2 linked regions of the Macaca fascicularis genome follow. The protein of the gene in region 1 interacts with the protein of each later gene in a pairwise test. Links are inferred from orthologs where the notes say so. Each region holds a gene or a part of one and is shown on either strand. Other genes may lie near its edges. The genes, in order: PDCD4 and EIF4A2.

The links.
Region 2: the proteins of PDCD4 (region 1) and EIF4A2 interact in binary tests that used the Homo sapiens proteins (3 or more experiments, as listed by UniProt). The two-hybrid records come from large-scale screens. The link is inferred for Macaca fascicularis from reciprocal best matches to the Homo sapiens genes PDCD4 and EIF4A2.

What each region holds. Positions count from the first base shown.
Region 1 is NC_088383.1:119,971,887-119,983,172, forward strand, and holds part of PDCD4 (programmed cell death protein 4), read left to right. Parts: intron 1-1,270; coding exon 1,271-1,384; intron 1,385-3,678; coding exon 3,679-3,900; intron 3,901-5,846; coding exon 5,847-5,944; intron 5,945-6,862; coding exon 6,863-6,977; intron 6,978-10,378; coding exon 10,379-10,486; intron 10,487-10,697; coding exon 10,698-10,808; intron 10,809-11,286. UniProt on the Homo sapiens protein: Inhibits translation initiation and cap-dependent translation. May excert its function by hindering the interaction between EIF4A1 and EIF4G. Inhibits the helicase activity of EIF4A. Modulates the activation of JUN kinase.
Region 2 is NC_088376.1:11,706,694-11,718,707, forward strand, and holds EIF4A2 (eukaryotic initiation factor 4A-II), read right to left. Parts: upstream 6,658-12,014; 5' UTR 6,624-6,657; coding exon 6,595-6,623; intron 5,805-6,594; coding exon 5,756-5,804; intron 5,670-5,755; coding exon 5,537-5,669; intron 5,433-5,536; exon of another isoform or gene 5,364-5,432; intron 5,264-5,363; coding exon 5,124-5,263; intron 4,342-5,123; coding exon 4,173-4,341; intron 4,062-4,172; coding exon 3,952-4,061; intron 3,907-3,951; exon of another isoform or gene 3,780-3,906; intron 3,724-3,779; coding exon 3,580-3,723; intron 3,555-3,579; exon of another isoform or gene 3,377-3,554; intron 3,147-3,376; coding exon 3,009-3,146; intron 2,974-3,008; exon of another isoform or gene 2,842-2,973; intron 2,783-2,841; coding exon 2,693-2,782; intron 2,666-2,692; exon of another isoform or gene 2,527-2,665; intron 2,473-2,526; coding exon 2,393-2,472; intron 1,962-2,392; exon of another isoform or gene 1,851-1,961; intron 1,147-1,850; coding exon 1,002-1,146; 3' UTR 371-1,001; downstream 1-370. Other genes in the region: RFC4 (replication factor C subunit 4), read left to right, coding at 16-129, 207-302. UniProt on the Homo sapiens protein: ATP-dependent RNA helicase which is a subunit of the eIF4F complex involved in cap recognition and is required for mRNA binding to ribosome.

The sequences.
Region 1 (11,286 bases):
GAAGCCAGTCACAGGTTGCAAATATAGCAGTCTCTTCTTATCCGTGGTTTCACTTTCCACAGTTTCAGTTATCCATGGTTCGGTGTGGTTTGAAAATACTGATTGGAAACTTTCAGAAGTAATTCATAAGTTTTAAATTGCATGCCATTCTGAGTAGTGTGATGAGATCTCCCGCTGTCCAGCTTCATCCACCTCATCCTGCCTAGGATGTGAGCCATTCCGTTGTCCAGTGTGTATCTGCAATGTATACACTACTCATGCATTCGTCACATGGTAGCTGTCTAGGTTATCAGATTGAAAAAACAGTATTTATTGGGTTTGGTACTATCTGTGGTTTCAGGCATCCTCTGACAGGGCTTGGAACATACACCCTGTAGATAAGGGGGGGCACTACATTTCAGAGCTTGTTTTGCATGGGGAGAGAGGAGTGGTTCGATGATGTATGTTAATCTTCTTTTTGAAATTTCAATTGAACAGTGCTTTTTTCCTTAGAGATTTTTTTCTGTCACTACAACCTTGATCTTTGTGTTATACTTTTTATTATAATAATGCTAATCGTGAAGGCTTTGGTTTCTGCTTCATTTTTTCTAAAAGTGAAGTTTTAATTAAAATACCATATATGATAGGAAGCCATCATGAAGCTTTTTGGTTACCGAAAGATTGGTTTTGAGAGAGACATAAACATTTTGAGAGAAAAAATTAAGACATGGGGGTTGGGAGCAAATTATGTATTTGCTATGGTTAATGGCTCTAATCTATATATTGGCTTATTCTGATTTTGTAAAAGAGCAGTGACATACACATTCTACTATTTTTATTATTATTTTATTACTATTTTCTAGCTTTGTTGTCCATGCTGGAGTACAGTGATGAATTAATTATAGCTCACTGCAGCCTCAAACTCTTGGGCTTAAGAGAGCCTTCTGCCTCAGCTTCCTGAGTAGCTAGGACTACAGGTGCAGGCTACCATGCCTGGCTAATTTTTAAAATTTTTTTGTAGAGATAGGGTTTTGCTATGTTGCCCAGGCTAGTATTGAACTCCTGGCCTCAAGTGAACCTCCTGCTTTTGCTTCCCAAAGTGTTGGGATTGTAGGTGTGAGTCTCCTTGCCTGGCCTAGATTCTGTTTTTATGTGATGAATGTATGTAGCATATCTTTGTCTTGTGCTAAGTGGGGATTATTAACTACTTAGAATATAAAATTATACAACAATTTCATTTGTTTATTTGCATTTTGTTTTTTATAACTCTTACTCCCTTTTCCCCTCACAGGAGAACTGTGTTTATGAAACTGTAGTTTTGCCTTTGGATGAAAGGGCATTTGAGAAGACTTTAACACCAATCATACAGGAATATTTTGAGCATGGAGATACTAATGAAGTTGCGGTAGGTTTAAAGTTGCAAGTGTAATTTATTTAATATAGGAGAGAAGACATCTTTTATAAGCAAAATACATCTGGAATGATCTTGGGTCACTGAATAAATTTAATCATTTTCTTTTGCATGAGTGAATTTCTAAGAAATGGAATAAAATCTCATTACATTAAAATAGTTATATATTTGGGATGTGATGAGAGCTATATGCCATTTTCTTCTCTGAAAAATGACAATATTTTAATAATTTTTATAATGATAATTTGTAATGTATATGAATTTATAAAATCTGTTTTTATAATTTATAAGATATAATTTTAGCAGTTTGAGGGCACTTATAGACCCCCCTGAAACCTCTTCAGGGACCTCAGACAAGAATGCCTGACATAGTTTCATTTTTTTGACATTTATTTCAAGTATATTCAGAAGTAGGATAAAATTTCTTTGTACTTTGTCCAAAAAAAAAAACCCCACAAATAATAAAGATTTGAAAAAGAATTAGAAACCATGAGAATAATTATGAATTGTTCATAAAGTAAATTTAGGATAAAATAAAACTATTGGTCAGTTAGGATTATTGAATTAAAGTAATATAATTGTAACCCTTAGAAGACTTTGATCATTTAGATTCTTAAAATTTAGACTAGACTTTTATGATTTGTCTGGTACTGTGAGGTTTGTTATCTTTGGATTTGTAGGATTTGAATATAAGACAAATATTTGTTCTGTGCATACCATCTGGAGGAATTTGTAATAGGTGATTCTTGCCCTTTTGAAGCCCAGTCAAGTGAAAGAAATGATATGTAAACAGATTATTAAAGTATGTGAAACATTCTGTTATAGAGGAAAAGTTTCCATGAGTCTGTGAGGGCAGGGACTGTTGAAATCTTGTTATCTACCTCGCATAAGACCATCTGTATACTACATATCTATTAACTGAGTAGGTTTGGAAAGCATAAAATAGAGAGTAATAGTAGAGATGATTCTCTGCTGTTCTGAAGGATGGTGAGGAGTTCGCCAGTTAAGATAGTTTTCCAGGAAAGAGGAGTATCGTGTTTGAGGGTAATGGATTAGTTGTTAAAGTGCAGTCAATGAAGATGAACTGTAGTGAGTGAGAAGAGATTACTAACAAGGACACCAGTTAGGTGGCTGTAAAATAGTTCTGGCACTCTCTTAGTAGTGTATCATGATTTAAAGATTCTAAGAAAACTTTCATTAAAGAGGAGGGCACTCTAACTGAATTAGAACTTAGCTTCTAGAGTCAGTCTACCTTTATTCCGCTTTCAGTTTGGCTACTCCAGCTGTGTGCCCTCTCTGCTTTGAGTATGATAGGTATAATAATTTAATACTCAAAGGGCTATTTGAGTATTAAATAAGATAATATAAATAAAGAGGCTATTATAATGCCGGATACATTAGTCAATAAGTATTAGCTGCAGCTATTATATTTCTAGTAGGAAATTTTAAATTTACCCCAGAATTTTAAACCAATAATCCTATTTAAAAACAGTTGTTTAAGATCTAATTTTAAACTTGATACAGAAGTGTAAAGTGAATTTTTATTTCAAGAGAAGGCTTTGAAGAAAAGTAGTATATAAATAGCTTATGATAATGTAAAATGAATTTCTCCACAAATTCTCATAAAACAGTATTTATAGAAATAATAGATTGTAAGGCAGGTTAGTTACTCCTAATACCAATCTTAGCAATATTATGTGGTTTAATGAACTAGCCATGAGCTGCATAATGATGTTTCCATGACAGACTGCATATATACCTGTGGTCTCAAATAATACTCTTTACTATATCTTTTCTGTGTTTAGATAGGTAACCATTGTGTTATAGTTGTCTACAGTATTCAGTATAGTAACATACTATACAGGTTTGTAGCCCAGGAGCAATAGGTTATACCATATAGCCTACATGTAGGCTATGCCATTTAGGTTTGTGTAAGTACACTCTATAATGATTGCACACTGATGAAATCACCTAAATGGTGAATTTCTCAGAATGTATCCATGTCGTTAAGTGACCCATGACAGTATTTTAAATGTATTTCACATTTTTGAATTTAGCGATGTTAAGGCAGTTAAAGCTTGACAAAGTGGATCAATGTCTAATTTATGCACAGGGAAAAAAGGTGTATTTATCCTATCTCCTAAAACATGACTGTGTCTTTTGATTATTTCCAAAGAGTGAGAGGTAAAGACATATAGATAAAAGCTTGATTTTTCAAATATAAAATTTTATTGAACTGTAGGTAGTGATACACGTTAAAAATGTTTTTAAATTATTTTTTTGAACAGGAAATGTTAAGAGATTTAAATCTTGGTGAAATGAAAAGTGGAGTACCGGTGTTGGCAGTGTCCTTAGCATTGGAGGGGAAGGCTAGTCATAGAGAGATGACATCTAAGCTTCTTTCTGACCTTTGTGGGACAGTAATGAGCACAAGTGATGTGGAAAAATCATTTGATAAATTGTTGAAAGATCTACCTGAATTAGCATTGGATACTCCTAGAGCACCACAGGTTTGTATGATTCTTCTTTTTGTTCATTCCCTCCCACGACTATACTCCTAATTGTGGAAGTAATGTATACTCCTAGGAAATTTTAGTAGATGGAAGGGGATGGCCCACATTTCCTACCACACCGAACTACCCCTCTAACATTTCGGTGTATTTTTTCCTAGTTCTTTTGTTTTTTAAACATGGTCTTCATCATGCTATAAATTTAATGTTACGTTGTACTTTTCCCCCATGATCTGTGTAGTTTTTAGTTCTTTTTTTTTTGTTTTGCCATATATATAGTCTTTATTATATGTAATTGTTTTATTAACTAAGATTTTTAAAAAATGTAGGTTACGATTGCTTCACTAATGTTTATTATAAAAAGTCAGGAATAAGACTCTTCCCTTTTGTAGCTTTAAAAACATGTGAAATTGTTATTGTCAAAAGTTTTTAATCAAGGTAAAATCATTTTACCTAAAACATTAATTTAGAAATAGAATATAGGCATGTCAGTTCCTAAATGCTGTTTCTGTTATACTTATGACAGACAGTAGTCTGTATGAGATATTGAGTGGTGATTCTAATGCAGACATTTTTTCCTTTTATACCAATACACGTACTGTAACAAAATGATTATATAAGTTTATATTTATTGTAGAATTTTTGAAAAATAAAAGCCGGAAAGAAGAAAGGCCAGCAAAAACTGCTACTGGTGTTAAGTTTTCCATTCTCCTTTCTGTGGGTATATATCAGTGTATGACTTCTATAAATCCTTAATTTTTTTAAATTAAAAAAATGGAATCATACCATGTATGCTATTTTGTAAACTTGATTTTTCTCATACCATGAAATATGGTAAATATCTTTCCCTGTGGCCACATAATATACCATTTTACATATATACCATTGAACCATAGCTTTATTTTTGGACACTAATTTCCATTTTTTATAATAAGTAATGCTGTGAACATACTTCCAGCTATTTCTATACAACTTTTCTTTCTCCACAAGATAAATTCCTTTGATTAGTTTTTGAGAGAACCTAGTCTTTTTTTTTTTTTTTTTTTTTTTTTTGAGACAGAGTCTTGCTCTGTCGCCCAGGCTGGGGTGCAGTGGCCGGATCTCAGCTCACTGCAAGCTCTGCCTCCTGGGTTTAGGCCATTCTCCTGCCTCAGCCTCCCGAGTAGCTGGGACTACAGGCGCCCACCACCTTGCCCGGCTAGTTTTTTGTATTTTTTAGTAGAGACGGGGTTTCACCGTGTTAGCCAGGATGGTCTCGATCTCCTGGCCTCGTGATCCGCCCGTCTCGGCCTCCCCAAGTGCTGGGATTACAGGCTTGAGCCACCGCGCCCGGCCTCCTCTTTTTTTTTTTTTAAGAAGACTTCACTTGACCTTAAATCATTCATTTAACCCCAGCACTTTGCGAGGCTGAGGCAGGCAAATCACGAGGTCAGGAGTTTGAGACCAGCCTGGCCAAGATGGTGACACCCCGTCTCTACTAGAAATGTGAAAATTAGCCAGGCATGGTGGCGTGCGCCTGTAGTCCCAGCCACTTGGGAGGCTGAGGCCGAAGAATTACTTGAACCCGGGAGGTGGAGGTTGCAGTGAGCTGAGATCACGCCACTGCACTCCAGCCTGGGTGACAGAGCGAGACTCTGTCTCAAAAAAAAAAAAAAAAAAATCATGTACTATGTATTCAGGCAGTGTGCAAGGTGGTAGGAATTCATTAGTGAGCACAACAGAGGTGGCCCCCACTCTGGCACTTAACTTGAAGGTTAAGATGTGGGAGTGTATGCCAGGCATAACAGGTACTACATAGGCTTTTTTTTTAAAAAAACTTCCAGCATCTTTCAGGTACTGACTGTGTACTTCAGCCAATCATCATCATTTATGTATTTAGAAATTGTGTCCTATAAAAGTTATTTAAGATTTTTTTATATAGCTCTTTTTTTTTTTCCTTATTACAGTTGGTGGGCCAGTTTATTGCTAGAGCTGTTGGAGATGGAATTTTATGTAATACCTATATTGATAGTTACAAAGGAACTGTAGATTGTGTGCAGGCTAGGTAAGTAAATCACTTTTCCTGCTTAGAATTTCAAAATAGGGGAAAATTCTACAGGATCATATTGAAATGACACTTGGCATTAATCAAACACTCTGTACATCTGTTTGTCACTTCTCTATATTCTCCACTGTTAAAATGGAGAGAATGTTGACGTGACATACCAGGAAGAGGACAGTACTATAATGCAAAAGTTCTGGAGTTTAGCTAAATCATTAATTACCTTCATGTCAAGCCACTCTTCTTTGGGCCTCAGTTTCTTTATGAAACAAAGCCATTGGACAGATCTTTTAAGTTCTGTTTTCAGGTTCTAGCATTCTGTAGTAGTTTAATATTCTAATAAGATGGATAACATTAACAAGAGAGGCCTCATTTATAGTTTTATTTTGTATTTATCTACTGTAGGAATTTTAGTCAGAAAATGTCTTTTTCACTCTTGTGATTTAGTATAATTAATATGATATTTGGAATAACTAAATGTGATATTTGGGAGTTATGCTATATGATTTTTCTTGACTTCTTGGAGACTTGGACTCAGCCATGTCTTAGTTTTCCTTAGGTCTGTATATTAATTTTCTAGGGCTACTTCACATCATAGTGAAATGGTCTTCCTGGGTAGGAAGACATGGATCTAGGTGAAAGTTAATTATATATGAAGTGCTTCTTCTCAGTGTAGATCAGTTATTTTGTAATGTGTTTTGATTTTTCTTGAAGGAGAAATGAAATAAAGCATGAGAATATTAACATGAGGATCAACTTTTTTTGCTCCTTTTTGTTTTGAAAAAGTGTTTTGAATTTTATTTTGCTTTTATGTTTTGTGAAAGATTTAGGGCATATAGGATTTTGTAAGCTTTATCCATAATTTGGTAAACTTTAGGTATGTCCAGCTACCAAACTTAAATTTTTTTTCTTTCTCTGTAGAGCTGCTCTGGATAAGGCTACTGTGCTTCTGAGCATGTCTAAAGGTGGAAAGCGTAAAGATAGTGTGTGGGGCTCTGGAGGTGGGCAGCAATCTGTCAATCACCTTGTTAAAGAGGTAATGATTGGGTATTGTCTTTAACTTAATTTACATGTATTCCTCTGAGTGAAATAAATTGTGGCTACTAGCTGTTATTTTTATGGACAAAAATTAAGTTCGGTCTTACAGCTGTAATTGGAAAATGAAATAATTCTTTTATATTTGACTTTATGAGCTTTTATTATAAATTATATGATAAAAAATGAGTCTGTTAAAAGGGCTTTCATGAATAATTATAAGCAAGCCATCTATGAACTTCAAAGGAATGCCTGAAATCTTTCTCTCATATTATTATTTAATAATTTTCAAATGCTGTTGAAATGAGATTTTCTGTCTTTTAGCTATTCAATAAATATGCTTTTATATAAGTAAATTAAAACTAGATAGTCTTAAATAATGAGTTAGGAATTATGAGCACTAGAGTAGATCAGAGTGTTAGATTTTTGTGAGGACGTTCACTACCCATATGCGTGTTTTAAAAGAAAATTGATAGTAATCCCAGTACTTTGAGAGGCTGAGGCAGGTGGATTGCTTGAGGCCAGGAGTTCGAGACCAGCCTTGTCAACATGGTGAAACCCCATTTCTACTAAAAGTACATAATAATTAGTCAGGCATGGTGGTGCGCACCTGTAATCCCAGCTACTCAGGAGGCCGAGGCACCAGTATTGCTTGAACCCAGGAGGCGGAGGTTGCAGTGAGCCAAGATCACGCCACTGTACTCCAGCATGGGTGACAGAACAAGATTGTGTCTCAGAAAAAAAAAAAAAAAAGCGATTTATTGCATTAAAATGCCAGATTTATTTCCTGTGGATTTTTTTTTTTCTGGCTGTATTGTGGTATTCTGTAACAAGAAACCAAAAAACAAAAAAAACTCCTTATCTGCAGATCTCTTTAAGAAAAGGCATGCAACTAGAAGATTTGTAGTTCATGTGCTTCTGATTTTTGAGTATAATCTTTTCATGTAACTGTAATTTTGATTTTTAGTAAATCTTTTAATGAGGGGTGTGTGTGTGTATGTGTATCTAGCTTAAGTGTTAAGGAGTTCAAAATGTAGTTAGAGCCCTTGACCATTTTTGCTTTTATATATGTTAAAAGAGATGAGTCAGTGTTTGTAATGTTGTGATTTAGTATCTGTTTTTAAAAATTAAATAATAATTAGAAAAATTGAGGTATAAAAATAGTAAAGATGCCAGGGCAGTTAGGCAGGAAAGATAAAAGGCATCCAGATTGGAAAGGAGGAGATAAAACTAGTTGTATTCCCAGGTAACATGATCTGTATTCAGAAAATTTGAATGAATCCACATTTTTTTAACTCCCCAAGACTGAAACCAAACTATTAACTAAAAAATGAGTTCAGAAAGGTTGCAAGATACAAGATTAGTACACAAAATTCAATTCTATATACAGTAGGAATGAATGATCTGAAATGAAATTATTGCATTTATGATAGCATCAAAAATAAAATACTTAGGAATAAATTTAACAAGAGAAATGCAAGTCTTGTACACTGAAAACTGTAAAACTTGTTGAAAGAAATTAAAGAAGACCTAAATAAATAGAATGATATCCCATGGTTATGGATTAGGATATTTAATATTGTTAAGATGGTAATACTCTCCAAAATTAATATTTTTGGAAACTGGACAAGATGTTTTATGGTGTATGAATTCTCTCTCAAGAAAGAAAATTGACAAGATAAAAAAGGAAATAAAACTACCAGTATATGAGTTTGAGGTTGACATTATTTGGATATTTGCTTACATGGAAGGGTTGGATCAAAGAAGACTTTTAGAAATGTATAAATGTATTTGTAATTTATTCTCAGAAGTGCATGGAATTTGATGGGGTATATTTTTAATACTTTTAAAGTTATGTAACAAATGTTAAAAATAAGTAATATGATTTGAATAACAAGTACAGTCATGTGCCACATAATGATGTTTTGGTCAGTGATGAACTGCATGGGATGGTGGTGGTCCCACAAGGTTCTAATGGAGCTGAAATATTCCTATCCTCCAGTGATATGGAGACAGTTGTAATGTTGTAGCACAGTTACTTTGTTTTTTCATAAATTTAGTGTAGCCTAAGTATACAGTGTTTATAAAGTGCATAGCAGTGTATGGGTAATGTCTTAGGCCTTTACATTCACTAACCACTCACTCATTGAATCACCCAGAGTAACTTCCATCCTGAAAGCTCTATTCATATTGAGTGCTCTATACAGGTGTATCATTTAAAAAATCATTTATACTGTATTTTTACTGTACCTTTTCTATGTTTAGATACACAAATACCATTGTGTTCCAATTGCCTATATCATTCAATATACTGACCTGCTGTACAGATTTGTAGCCTAGGAGCAATAGGCTATATCTTATAGCACTGGTGTGTAGTAGGCTATACCATCTAGGTTTCTGTGAGTATACTGTATGATGTTTGCACCATGACAGTCATGTAACACACTTTTCAGAATGTATCCCTATTAAACGATGCATGATTATGTATTAGTTTGTAATTATAAAGTAAATATATTCAAATGCTGTGCTTTAAATATTTACTTACATGTAAATATTTAAATACATATTTACTTACATGTAAATATTACATCCTAAGGCATGACAGCAATTAAATTTTACTTTACCTTTTATGAAAATACATTATAAAAGTTGGAAGGATACTTAAATACGATTTTTTTAAATTCAGTCAGCCAGCATTCAACATTCAGACAACTAGATATGTGCCCACCAAATACAAAGAGGATTTTAACAAAGAACATATAGGCAAAAATATTCCTAGCTGAAGCTCTTGTGCTGAAAAAGTTCTCCCACTTTTTTGAGATGTTCAAGTTTGAGCAGGAAAATCAAGACTTGTTTCTTTACAGCTGGAAACTGAATTATTGAACATTTTAGATAATGAGTTTCAAATTCTCAGTTGTAGAGAAAAGAGAAACTGTGTGGAAATCTTTGCCCTGTCTAGTAATACCCCATTATCATCTCTCATTTTTTGGCTCTCAGTGCACTATTAAGAGCATCTTGATAGAAGTGAAATATTTATGCCACTTTATGTTGAAACTTTGTTAGTGCCCTCTAGTGGTATTTAAAATCCCTTATTTTTAGTGGCACACTAAAGCATTATGGTCACAACCCAGGACACGTCCATTATAAACCTACTCGTAGATCTCAGTGATTCAGACACACTGAAGCATTGCATTTGAGTCATAATTATGAACCATTTAAAAATTGGGGATTTATTTTTTAATTATGAAAAATTCTGTGATAATAGTACCATGTCCAGTCTATATGTTACTAGCTGTTACCCATTATTTCATTATATTGGAATGAGGGCAAATAATCCTGTAGGCAAGCACGATATTTTAAAAGTTAGGAATTCTAACACATCTCAACTTTTAAATCTAATAGATTGATATGCTGCTGAAAGAATATTTACTCTCTGGAGACATATCTGAAGCTGAACATTGCCTTAAGGAACTGGAAGTACCTCATTTTCACCATGAGCTTGTATATGAAGTAAGATTACCTTGCCATGTCAAAGAGAATTATTAAGTGTTCCTTTTTGTAGCATAGTGACTTATGCTTTTTAAATAATGTACATCCTTTTTTTAATATCAAAGGAGGAAGTGGTTTTTAAATTTTCACTATTACAAAAGGCATCTGATACATTTAGGAGCGGTTTCATATATAAATTAACCAAAAATTCACTCATTGATTCAATTTTTAGGCTGTTATAATGGTTTTAGAGTCAACTGGAGAAAGTACATTTAAGATGATTTTGGATTTATTAAAGTCCCTTTGGAAGTCTTCTACCATTACTGTAGACCAAATGAAAAGAGTAAGTATACCATTATTTTTGAACAACTTTTAGGATTATGCCTTAAATATATGATTGAATACAGATTATGAATTGTCAGTGACTTTTCTTTAGGTATGTTTAGTGTTATTATGCCTATATGTTTTATTTTTTCTTAATGGTAATGTTTGAGGTTTGAACCTTTTGCAACCATTTCTTGGAAAGTAACACTGCAGTGGGTTTTTTGTTTTTTTTTTAACCTACTTTGACAAATGTGATTATGTATTCTACCTCAAGGGTTCGGTTTCTAAGATGTGACAATTTCTATTTTATATCTAGCGAGAAACATGAACCTTTAACTTTTAACAAATTATAAAGTACTTTTTTCCTATTTAAAATTTTATGATTCTTGTTTTAAATGTTTGTGAGGTTTGTGTTTGGCCTGTATTTTTTAAAAGAACATACTAAGTGTATATAGAGAAGTAGATGGGAAAGGAGTTTGCCCAATGTCTGGTGTCTG
Region 2 (12,014 bases), on another chromosome or scaffold:
TTTTTTTTTTAATAGGACTTAATAGATGAGGGTCATGCAGCAACTCAGTTCGTCAGTCAACTCCATGATGTGGTTGTAGAGAATAATTTATCTGATAAACAGAAGTCCATTATTACAGAAAAACTTGCCGTAAGTAGGTACTTTGCACATGTCAATTAAACATTTAACTACCTGAAGGATGCTAATTTCTTAAATTTTTCTTGTAGGAAGTTGACAAATGCCTAGCAGATGGTGCTGATGAACATTTGCAACTCATCAGCCTTTGTGCAACTGTGATGCAGCAATTATCTCAGAATTGTTAAAAAGTGAATATATTTTGATGTGGGGTTTTGTAAATAAGGGGGTTGTAATAAAAATGACCAAAAGCACCTTTAAAGTGAATATACAATTTATTTAACATTCAAACTTCATTAAGACATGTGCAATATGGCAATTTTACTGGGGATTAAACCCTACCTAGGATGATTGCTTGCTGGGGCTTAGCAACAGGGTCCAGTTCACACTTAGCACTAATTAAATACTTTATTGAATAAATACAATACCAAACAAAATGCATTCAAATGCTTTCTAAAAAAATTTTAAAGGCCTTTCTACTCAGGCTAATGACAAACACAATAAAGGCAGATATGCTAGTTTAACATAATTGGCTGATTTTATACAGCACTTATATCTTTTAGTCCACAAGTATATTATTAAATGATAGAGAACATCTAATACAACCATTTCTACAGAACTAGGAAATAAATTTCTAAGAAAGAAAGATTTTACAGACCCCATCTTTTATACCCACCCCAACAGTCTAACTCTAAAGAGGATAAAGCCAATGACTTTCCTCACAAGAGCTCACGACTAATGTCGCTTTGCTATCAAAATCTGTATTTCTGATCCGTTATGAGCATTGAGACAAGATTCAAATATTCCCAAAGAAAGAAGCACAATGCACGTTGTGATCGCCTATTCAGCAACAGCGAGCACTGCATCCAAAACTCTCATCCCAGGAATTAAATAAGGTCAGCCACATTCATGGGCATCTCCTCCACTGTAGTATTGTAGAAAGTCTCAATGTCACGAAGAATCCTCTTGTCTTCTTCAGTAACAAAGTTTATAGCCACACCTTTCCTCCCAAATCGACCCCCTCTGCCAATTCTGTGTAAGAAAAAAACAATCAGAATGTTACTTCTCACATAATTTATGAACTACTGAACATGACGATCCACTTGTTAACCATCAGCTGCTGTTTACTTATCAAGGTTATAGTTCGTGCTTCTAACTGGAGCACTAGCTGCTAATGCATATCTAGAGAAAAAAATCTTCCTTTGCAGTTAGTGCCAAAAGGATTCAAGGCTTGTCTGGCTGCAAAATGAGATTTTTATCAGGCATCTTGAGCATTATTATAAAGCAGATGACAGTATTGTGTTTGGGGTAGTGAAATTAAAGCCCATACCAAAGTGGGCCAGCCAAGAGCAGGTGTCAGCCTGGGACAGATGTAAACACCAGGAATAAAAGAGCAGTTATGTAATCCATTTCGACGCACTTCTGGAACTGTAAACTGTAAACAAATGCTGCAAAGGTTAACTATTTTCTAAAACTTACTTTTTTCCAGTGGGAAAACAAGTTATTTGGTATGGTAACCCAAACTTATCACTGCTTTTTTGCTCAGTTTCACACGTTGTAACTCAAATTACTCAAAACGTGTTTAACCGCCAAACAGCTACCTTCATGTTAGAAACCAGACAATACAAACCACCTAGTAAGAAAAGTTCCCTAACAGAAATACTAATACGAAAGATGCCTCAGCTGGAGCAACTTAAAATAAATAATCATGACAAAAGAAAAACAAATATAAATACCGACTCGCTCTTTATTCAAACAGTGTGCTGTTTCGCTTATGATTCCACGTCCTAAATTACGTCAACGCCGTTTCTGAGTGCCATCTCGTCATCAACTGCTGCTATCGACTCCTGTATTTTTTAAAAAGTCTTTTTTTACATCACATAACAAAGTACGATTCAATTTATTTAGGGATAAAGCCACTATAACTAAACCAGGGTTCACTCAAATTGCTACCAGGCGACACCAAGAAAATCCCAACTATGGAAAAAATCAAGAAAAAGCACATGGACACAAGAACATCACTAAAAGCTCAAGCATAAGCTAAGACCAACAATTGCGGGGGAAAAAAAAACCTATGCCCACAATCTGAGCAATGTTTACAAGTTTTCCCACTTTGTTCTCGTCAGCCTTCCCCTAGTACAAATTTAATTACATCATCTTACTGAACACTACTGACTTGACTGAATCTATTCCTTGATTTGATGTTACCTTTCATACAAATCACAGTAGAAAAATGTATGAATTTTTTTTCAATACATCCAAGATGCTGGCTTCTCACCTGTGAATATAGTTTTCACGATTGGTAGGTAGATCATAATTTATAACCAAAGACACTTGTTGCACATCAATCCCGCGAGCCTGAAACACAATGGCATATGTTAAAAATTCTAATTCAAAAAACATGGTACCTGTCATGTAGGCCACAAAATAGTAGCGAACTATACTAAGTGGTATAGCCCACTGTGGAGTGTGGTCCTTTTACTCTTCCAAATAGCCCAAGCTGGCAAAGGTTACTTAAAAACCTTCCCCCCAAAAAGCTAACTTTTGGTAGATTTTTAAAAAGCATTAAGAGACTTACCAACAAGTCAGTAGTGATCAGAACACGACTTGACCCTGACCGGAATTCCCTCATGATAACATCTCTCTCCTTCTGGTCCATGTCACCATGCTGCAAATTAATAAACCTTAATTCAAGAATCACCAGTCAGGTCAGTAATTTTAATCAACATGTATGAGACCAAGCGTCCCTGGCTGCTACAGGAATATAGCAGACAGGTATAGTTAAGAAACAACTTTATTTTGAGCAGGGGGAACGACAACACAGCACTTAGCAGCTATATTGTAGTCTGAATCCTGCTTTAGTGGAAATCCAGACATTTTAGAACACCTCTTACCAGAGCAGAAACTGTGAAGTCTCTGGCATGCATTTTCTCAGTCAGCCAGTCCACCTTGCGCCTTGTATTGAGAAAAATAACAGCTTGCGTAATGGTCAGTGTCTCGTACAAGTCACAAAGTGTATCCAACTTCCATTCCTATAATGTTTAGAAGAGAAAGTTAACAGTCATTTAGCTTTTCCAACTTTCTTCAGTTAAAAATACATTCTGGGCCAGGCACAGTGCTTATGCCCATAATCCCAGCACTTCGGGATCCCAACACTTGAGCCCAGGAGTTCCAACCAGTTTCCAGATAGTGAAACCCTGTCTCTACCCAAAATACCAAAATTGGCCCCTCTTAGCCAGTCTCAAAACGTAGGGGTCTAATGAGATATTGCACCAAATCTTAAGACAAAGGACATTGGACATTAAGAAAGAGGTCCATCCCAGTCTTTACAATCTAGTGCTGTTACTTTTCTTCTTGTGTGTACTCTGCTAGCATTATTGCAAAAACCAAGACATAGTCCTAGTGTCTGCAATTTTAGCACAGTGCTTATACAAGAAGGTAAAATAATGTCTAACAATCAGTTACCTCTCTCTCAACATTAATATAAAACTGTTTGATTCCTTCAAGGGTCAATTCTTCCTTTTTCACCAGAATTCGAATTGGATCTCTCATGAATTTTTTGGTCACTTCCAACACATCAGTTGGCATTGTGGCAGAAAGCAACACAACCTTGAAAAGAGAAAATTATGTTGTAGAACAACTTACACAGTAATACCCAAGAGAAAATGTTTGAAGCCAAGCGTCTCTGTCTCACTACAGAATGGAGTTAGACAGAGATAGTTATGCATCAAGTGCTTTAAGCAGGGGGAACGACAATAAAACACGTCAGTTGTATTGTAACAGTACCTGCATTAAACCCCATCTGTACCTTTAAGAGGGGAGTGAAGTAATGCTTACCTGAATACTTGTGTTTAGTTTTTGGAAAATCTCATAGATTTGATCCTTAAACCCACGGCTCAACATTTCATCTGCTTCATCCAAAACAAACATTTTGATCCATTTTGGAGCTGTTAGAAACAAAGTCATACTGTCACTTCTAGATCTACTCAGTAATATGATGACTTTTCAACTGTAACAGTAAAAAAAAAAAAAAAAACTCTTTTAAAGACAATACTTACAAAGATATCTTCTGTTTAACATATCAAAAACTCTCCCAGGTGTACCAACAACAATATGTGGTGCTTCGGCCTGCAGTTTTTGCATTTCATTTCGAACATTTGTTCCACCAATGCAGGCATGACAAGTTGCTCCCATATAGTCTCCAAGTGCCAGAATTACCTTTTGGATCTAAAAACCAAGCCTTAATTATTATCCTGAAGAACTCCAGGATCAATGACTACTTTTTAAAGCATAATGGCAAATTTAAACTGGTCTGCCAACAGCTTTTATGCATGCACAGCACGAAACTACTTCCAAGCTTAAAACGCAGACTGACCTAACTGCTTCAAGGTAAAACTCCCTTAATGTCTTTCTTCTGCCTTGTCAAACTTGGGATGCTGCTGCCCCACGCATCAGCTAGACAATTCAAGAATAACATTTCCTACATTATTCTTCACTGTGTGTAGGGAGTACATAGTGAAATATATGTTCTGTAATTACAGCTAGGGCAAATAATTTTTTTCCCCCAGAGGGTATTGTGCTTTATATAATCTTGACCTCAATAAAGCCTCCAGCTTTATTAGGAAGGTTTACTTCAAAGCCAATATAGCAGTGAGCTTTGAAAACATAGCATGCAACAGATGCATCACAAACTACGGAGACAGTCAAATGGTAACATGTCACTGCAGTTTTCATGTTGCACAACTGCATTCAAACTTAAAAAATGGGGACAGATCTAGTACATCCAAGAGAGTGTTTCGGATTCTCAATCTATTAGTATACAACCCTACAAACCATACCTGCATACCCAGTTCTTTTAAAGCTTTCAACAAAAACTCCCTGCATGCATGGACAATTAAAAGGAAGGATCTGGTAGGACCAATTTATACTAAGTTTTAAATTCTTCACAGTTGTGAAACCTGAAACCTATGCAACACGCAAGCAGTTTTTTTGAACTACACTATCAATACCTGTTGAGCCAGTTCTCTGGTGGGGGCCAATACTAGTGCTTGGGTCTCCTTGAACTCAATCTCCAACTGTTGCAGGATGGAAATAGCAAATGTGGCTGTCTTGCCAGTACCTGACTGAGCTTGAGCAATCACATCATACCCTAAAAAAAGTAGGATACATATTTACCGATCCCACATCAAATTGTCACTTCTACTTTACACCATGTATTCCATTTGGAACATGAATTATGCCCAAATAATAAGTGATCAGCAATGAGTATTCTCTTCATTTCAGGTCAGTCCCGAAAGATGATTGCCATCATTTCACTTTAAGGAATACAAACAGGTGCTAGTCCCCCAGAGGTTACTTTCCCTTTTACGGTCCATGACTATGTAGAATAAAGTCATTTCCTAAAAATTCCAGTTTCTTTTACCTTTAATACAGGGAATAATAGCTCTCTGCTGAATAGCGGAAGGCTTCTCAAAACCGTAAGCATAGATGCCACGAAGAAGAGACTCCTTTAAATTCATATCATCAAAGTTATCAACAATCTCATTCCAGTTGCTCTGTAAGTTAGAAAAAATAATGCACGCATGAATGAGATGAACACATTCACCTTTTCAAAGCTTCAACATCCACAACCGTTTCTTACCTCGATGACACCATCGGGGTCCATTCCCTCTGGGCCGCCATGTTCTCTGCTGACAAGAATACTGCAGTCAGACATCCCTTCCAAGCCACCTTAACTGCATCTTAAAGGGATAGCCCTTTGCAACCCGTCTCAGCACATTAGCCTCCCCTGCACAAGTTAAAGCAGCAGCTGCAGGACGAATATCACACTGCGCGCCTTCCCTAAAGGTTGGGGGCCGCGGACGTCCGGAAAGGCAGCCCCCCAGGCCCCAGCGCATGGGGATCCCGTTTCGGCGGCGGAGCGTCTCGCGAGAGCTCGGGGCGACGAGCTCCGCCCCCAACAATGCGCAAGCCGGGTGATTGACGCGGGCGGAGCGGCCTGGCGAGAGCGATGCCAACGGTTCGCCGGCACCCGTGCCGGTCCGGTCCCATCGCCTCCGCGCCGTGGCCGAGTGGAGACCGCTGCCTCCAACCCTTCCCCAACTGAAGCCAAGGACCCCCAACTCCTGTGGTTGACCAAAAATAAAGCTTCGGGTCCTGGTTACACTGTACCGAACGCGGACTGCGCCACGGCTGTTTACTGCATGTTTCCCGTGCTCTACACTGGGAGGGGAAGCAGCCAAAATTCCTAATGTCTTAGGGAGGAGAAACGCCCTTTAGCCGCTGCTTTCGCACCATCGTCCTGTCTCCCCACAATCCGGGCCCTACCCATCATGGAAGCTTCTGGAAGGGCACAGGGGTGCTGTACCCTAAGGAAACGTGCACTAAGTTGGAGTTTTTGCCTCCATGCCATCCACTATAATCTCTCCTGGCGCCCTACGACCTTCACTACAGACCGCGACCGCCAACAGCGCGCCATACCTGTTATAATCCGCGGAGCCACCAGACATGATCCGAAAAACCACTCAGCGCCCGACTGAAAAGACAGCAGAGCCCCGCCACCCGTTTTTTATAGGCTCGTGGCCGGAACCCGTTTCTTGCGGAGGAATTTTCTCGCCGTGCTTCGGTCAGCCACAAAATTGTGATCCTGGGGTCGTTACGTCGGATAAAATCCTAAGCAAGACGGTTGGAAAATCCAAATGTGGTAATTTCTCGATATTATAGGGTCGCTGGAAATCCTAGGGCCCGGGGTTGGGTTGGGATTCTTTACCTCGCGGCGGAAGAATATCGCTGCGGCGTTAGTCAAACACCACTTTCCCCGCCCGCCCTGCTCCTACGGGGTTTCCGCGTCCCTGACGCAGAGGCGGGCCGGGGGAGTGGAGCCGGAGCCGGAGCCGGAGGCGGAAGCCGGAGACGCTGCCCGCTGGGCGTCTGGGTCTTCCCGCGTGCGAGGGGTCCCGACTCGCGGCTCGCTGCCGGCGCTCAGGTGCGGGAGGGGAACTCGGTTATTCCACTTGCTCCCACCGCTGTTTAATTTGACAGTGAAGACCTGCCTGGCATTTAGCCCGACCATTAACATCCATTCAGATCTTGGAAACGTAAAATTCCTGCTAGGGAAAATGTCGGCCACCCAGCGAGTCCCGGAAAGTTTGGTTTACCGGTACATTTTGCAGCGAGAAAAAAAAATGGAGTGTCATTTGCAGATGTCTCTGGAGTAGCCAATTCTATTCTCATATCGTTTCCGGTCTCTCGCTTTCTTTTTAAAAGAGTGTTAATGATTTTAACCTAACAGGTGTGAGGAATGCCTGAAAAAAATCATAAACTTTTGCAAATGGATAGAAGCTAAGGAGCAGTAATTTTCCGTGGAACGCACGAATTTAAATGGACGCTTTGGCAGATACAGCTCTGTGCCGCTTTGGGACTACATCGGTGTTGATTCCGTCTACATTGGTCATTTTTTAAGGGCTTTGAGCTTTACCGATATATAGTGAAATGTTGATTTATTGAAATTCAGAGCAATAATATCCTTGCTGCGTAAACTGCACGAGTCTTTAAGCTCCAGATGTTTTCAATTAGCCCCATCTCAGGTCCCTTCACAGCAACAAAAAAACAATATATGTAGTCATTTAACTTTAAAATACAACCCTACCCATGGTGCAAAATATCGAGAATATCTGGAAACATTTTATCATATTTCAGAAGGCCAACTTAAAGAATCATTACTGGGAAAGCTGACTCAATTTTCTGTATTATTGAAGATATTTGGTTCTAAATACTATTTTAATACGAAAATTATTTATTCATTTGAAAATTCTTATCGTGCCAGGAATTGGGACAAAGATGAAGAATACCAAAATGGCAAAGTGGGCCTGGCCCTCAGTCTATTGGTACTGCTCCTCATTCATTCCTCTGTAATGTTCGAAAGCCATATTTGAGGTGATGCCAGACATTTTCTGAGAATGATGTTTGTCAGAGATCCTTGTTGTCTCATCCAAAATATACTAAAACTATCCTGAGATCTAAGAAATTGAAAAATATACTAAATCAAAAAAGTGACCAACCGTTTGGTTTCACTTGGGTGAAAACAGTTGGTCACAGGGTGATACCAATCAACAATTAACACTTAATTGTTGGTTGTTTTCTTTAGGATTAGCACTACACTAGATGCTGTGGAGGATTTTCAAGCCTCTTAAGAAGAAGTCTATCCTGGCTAACATGGTGAAACCCCGTCTCTACTAAAAATACAAAAAACTAGCCGGGCGTGGTGGCGGGCGCCTGTAGTCTCAGCTACTTGGGAGGCTGAGGCGGGAGAATGGCGTGAACCCGGGAGGCGGAGTTTGCAGTGAGCCGAGATCACGCCACTGCACTCCAGCCTGGGAGACTCAGCGAGACTCCGTCTCAAAAAAAAAAAAAAAGAAGAAGAAGTAAGGGCTAAACTCTGTGGTATAGGTTTGCAAGTGCTGAGTAAGTTTCAAGGTAAGAAAACTTCAAATACAGTCAAAATCCACACCCACACTGCCTGTAACCTTACAGTGTATTCCTAATAAGTGCAGTGCTTACCACATTTGCCTGTGCTTACTAAATAGTAAACATTAGTAACTAATAAATGTATTAAAGATCAAAACGTATACTTTAACAAAGTTTTGCGTATCAACACAGAGCGTGCTCTTTTAAATTTAAGTGATTCTGCTTACCTGGAATTTGAAATTAGATAGCCTTCTCAGTGGACTATAAATGCTTCTTTGTCAAACTTTAGTGTTTGAAACCATTTATACTGCAAATAATCCTAAAGCTCAGATTATTTCCATATCTAAGCCAACTAAGGTAGTTTCGTTTTGCTCTTCAAGAGCATCAGCTAACAATTCTAAAGCCAATTAGCAACCAGAGAAGCAAAGAATTAGTACAAATCTGTCAGTGCTACATGGAAAAACAATAACAAAACCTTAAAAGAATATGCATTCAACCAGGCACGGTGGTTCATGCCTGTAATCCCAGCACTTTGGGAGGCCGAGATGGGCAGATCACGAGGTCAGGAGATCGAGATCATCCTGGCCAACATGGTGAAACCCTGTCTCTACTGAAAGTACAAAAATTAGCCGGGTGTGGTGGCGGGCACCTGTAGTCCCAGCTACTCTGGAGGCTGAGGCAGGAGAATCGCTTGAACACGGGAGGTGGAGATTGCACTCCAGCCTGAACCCGGGAGGCGGAGGTTGCCGTGAGCAGAGATGGTGCCACTGCACTCCAGCCTGGGTGACAGAGCAAGACTCCACCGGGAGGAAGGAAGGAAGGAAGGGAGAGAGGGAGGAAAAAAAGAAAAGAAAGAAAAACAAAAGAAAAAAGAACTGCCTGGAGCTGGATAGAGATGTTGGTGCTACTCACCTCTTTTTTTTTTTTTTCATTTTCCTTTTTGGCAAACCCAGGATAATCTCTGTAACTTCTTTTTATTACACAGTTTTTGAGGAAATTAGAGGCTAGGTTCTGCTTGCCTGTGACCCCTGACGCAATTTGGAGGGTGGCATTTACTGCCGTGTTCTTACACTATAACTTAGAAAACATTTGTGGTTGGGTGTGATGGCTCACGCCTGTGATCCCAGCACTTTAGAAGGCCGAGGTGAGCCGAACAACCGAGATTAGGAGTTCGAGACCAGCCTGGCATACATGGAGAAATCCAGTCTCTACTAAAAATATAAAAATTACGCCAGGCGTGGTGGCTCACACCTAATCCCAACACTTTGGGAGGCCAAGGTGGGCAGGTCACTTGAGGTCAGGAGTTCGTGGCCAGCCTGGCCAACCCGGTGAAACTCCCTCTCTAGTAAAAATACAAAAATCAATCTGACGTGGTGGCGTACGCCTGTAATCCCAGCTACTTGGGAGGCTGAGGCAGGAGAATTGCTTGAACCCGGGAGGCGGAGGTTGCGGTGAGCCGAGATTGTGCCACTGCACTCTAGCCTGGGTGACAGAGCGAGACTCCGTCTCGGGGAAAAAAAATATATATATGTATATACAAAAATTAGCCAGTTGTGGCAGCGCACACCTGTAATCCCAAGTACTCAGGCAAGAGAATCACTTGAATTCGGGAGGTGGAGGTTGCAGTGAGCTGGGATCCCACCACTGCACTCCAACCTAGGCGACAGAGAAAGATTATGTCTCAAAATAATAATAATAATAATTTGCATGAAGATAGGTAAAGATATTAACAGAGTTGAAGAAAATAGAGAAAACTGAGGAGGACCACGGAAGGACTTTTAAACTAGCTAAGAACTCGGTTTGAATCCACTGATCCAAGGTTATTAAACTCTATTGTGTAGCCAAGATACAGAAGTTTTTCTACCTTTATAGAGGAAGACTGAAATAAAAGTACATTGCTGTACTTCAAATCAGGTGATCAGAAACTGTGGTATGCATAAAAATCAATGGGAACATCTATTTGAAATGCAGATACTTGTGGACTCTGCCCTCTCACCCAGATTCACTGGATCTGAACTGAGGTGGGGCCAGCTTTTTATTTTGAAAAATTAAGGTTGGGAGCAGTGGCTCATGCCTGTAATTCCAGCCCTCTGGGAGGCCGAGGTGGGCGGATCACTTGAGATTAGTAGTTTGAGACCAGCGAGGCCAACATGGTGAAACCCCATCTCTCCAAAAATACAAAAATTAGCTGGGCATGGTGGCACACACTTGTGGTCCCAGCTACTCGGGAGGCTGAGGCAGGAAAGCAGGATAATCACTTGAATCTGGGAGACAGAGGGTACAATGGCATGATGGTGGCACTCCAGCCTGGGCAACATCTTTATTTTACCTCAAAGATTCAATATTTTGGCCAGGCATGGTGACTCACACCTGTAATCCCAGCACTTTGGGAGGCCAAATGGCTTGAACTCAGGAGGTGGAGGTTGCAGTTTGAGGAGATCACGCCACTGCATTCCAGCCTGGGTGACAGAGCAAGACTCTGTCTCAAAGAAAAAAAAAAATCACTGTTTTTCATCAATTTGCATGTCTCTTCTAGATTACATGAAGTCTCCAGGATTAAGTTTGTCCTCAGGACAAACCTACACCTCTGTGAGGGATGGAAGAAAGACCTTGATTGGCAATCTCACCCCTAAAATGTAGGCCTGGTATCTGGAATCCCACTCCTATGCCCCATTACCTGGGGCTCTATACTGCCCTCTTCATGTGACACAACCAACTCACCTTTCATGCTTGTTTGTTTTCTTTTTGAGACAGTTTCGCTCTTGTTGCCCAGGCTGGAGTACAGTGGTGCAATTTCGGCTCACCTCAGCCTCTGCCTCCCGGGTTCAAGTGATTCTCCTGCCTCAGCCTCCCGAGTAGCTATGATTACAGGCATCCACCACCATGCCCAGCTAATTTTGTATTTTTAGTACAGGCGGGGTTTCTCCATGTTGGTCAGACTGGTCTCAAACTCCTGACCTCAGGTGATCTGCCTGCCTCGGCCTCCCAAAGTGCTGCAATTATAGGCGTGAGTCACCATGCCCGGTCAAGAATTTATCTCTTTTAATTCTCATAACACGCCTGGCCTCATCTTTCATCTTTACCATATATATGAGATAAAGTTTATATATATATATATAAACTATATATATTCCTATATAGTTCATTAAAAGTAATAGTTATATTGTTTTTTGGAAATGACAAAAAAGAAAACAATCACCAATCCCAAGAATGTCTGTTTATTTTTAAACATAATGGAAATCATACTTTAGGTAAAAAGTTTTTCCTCTATTTTTTTTTCTTTTCTCTTTTTGTTTGTTTGTTTGTTTTTGTTGTTTGAGGCAGAGTCTCTCTCTGTTGCCCAGGCTGGAGCGCAAATGGTGCGATTTGGCTCACTGCAACCTCCACCTCCCAGATTCAAGTGGTTCTCCTGTTTCATCCTCCCAGGTAGCTGG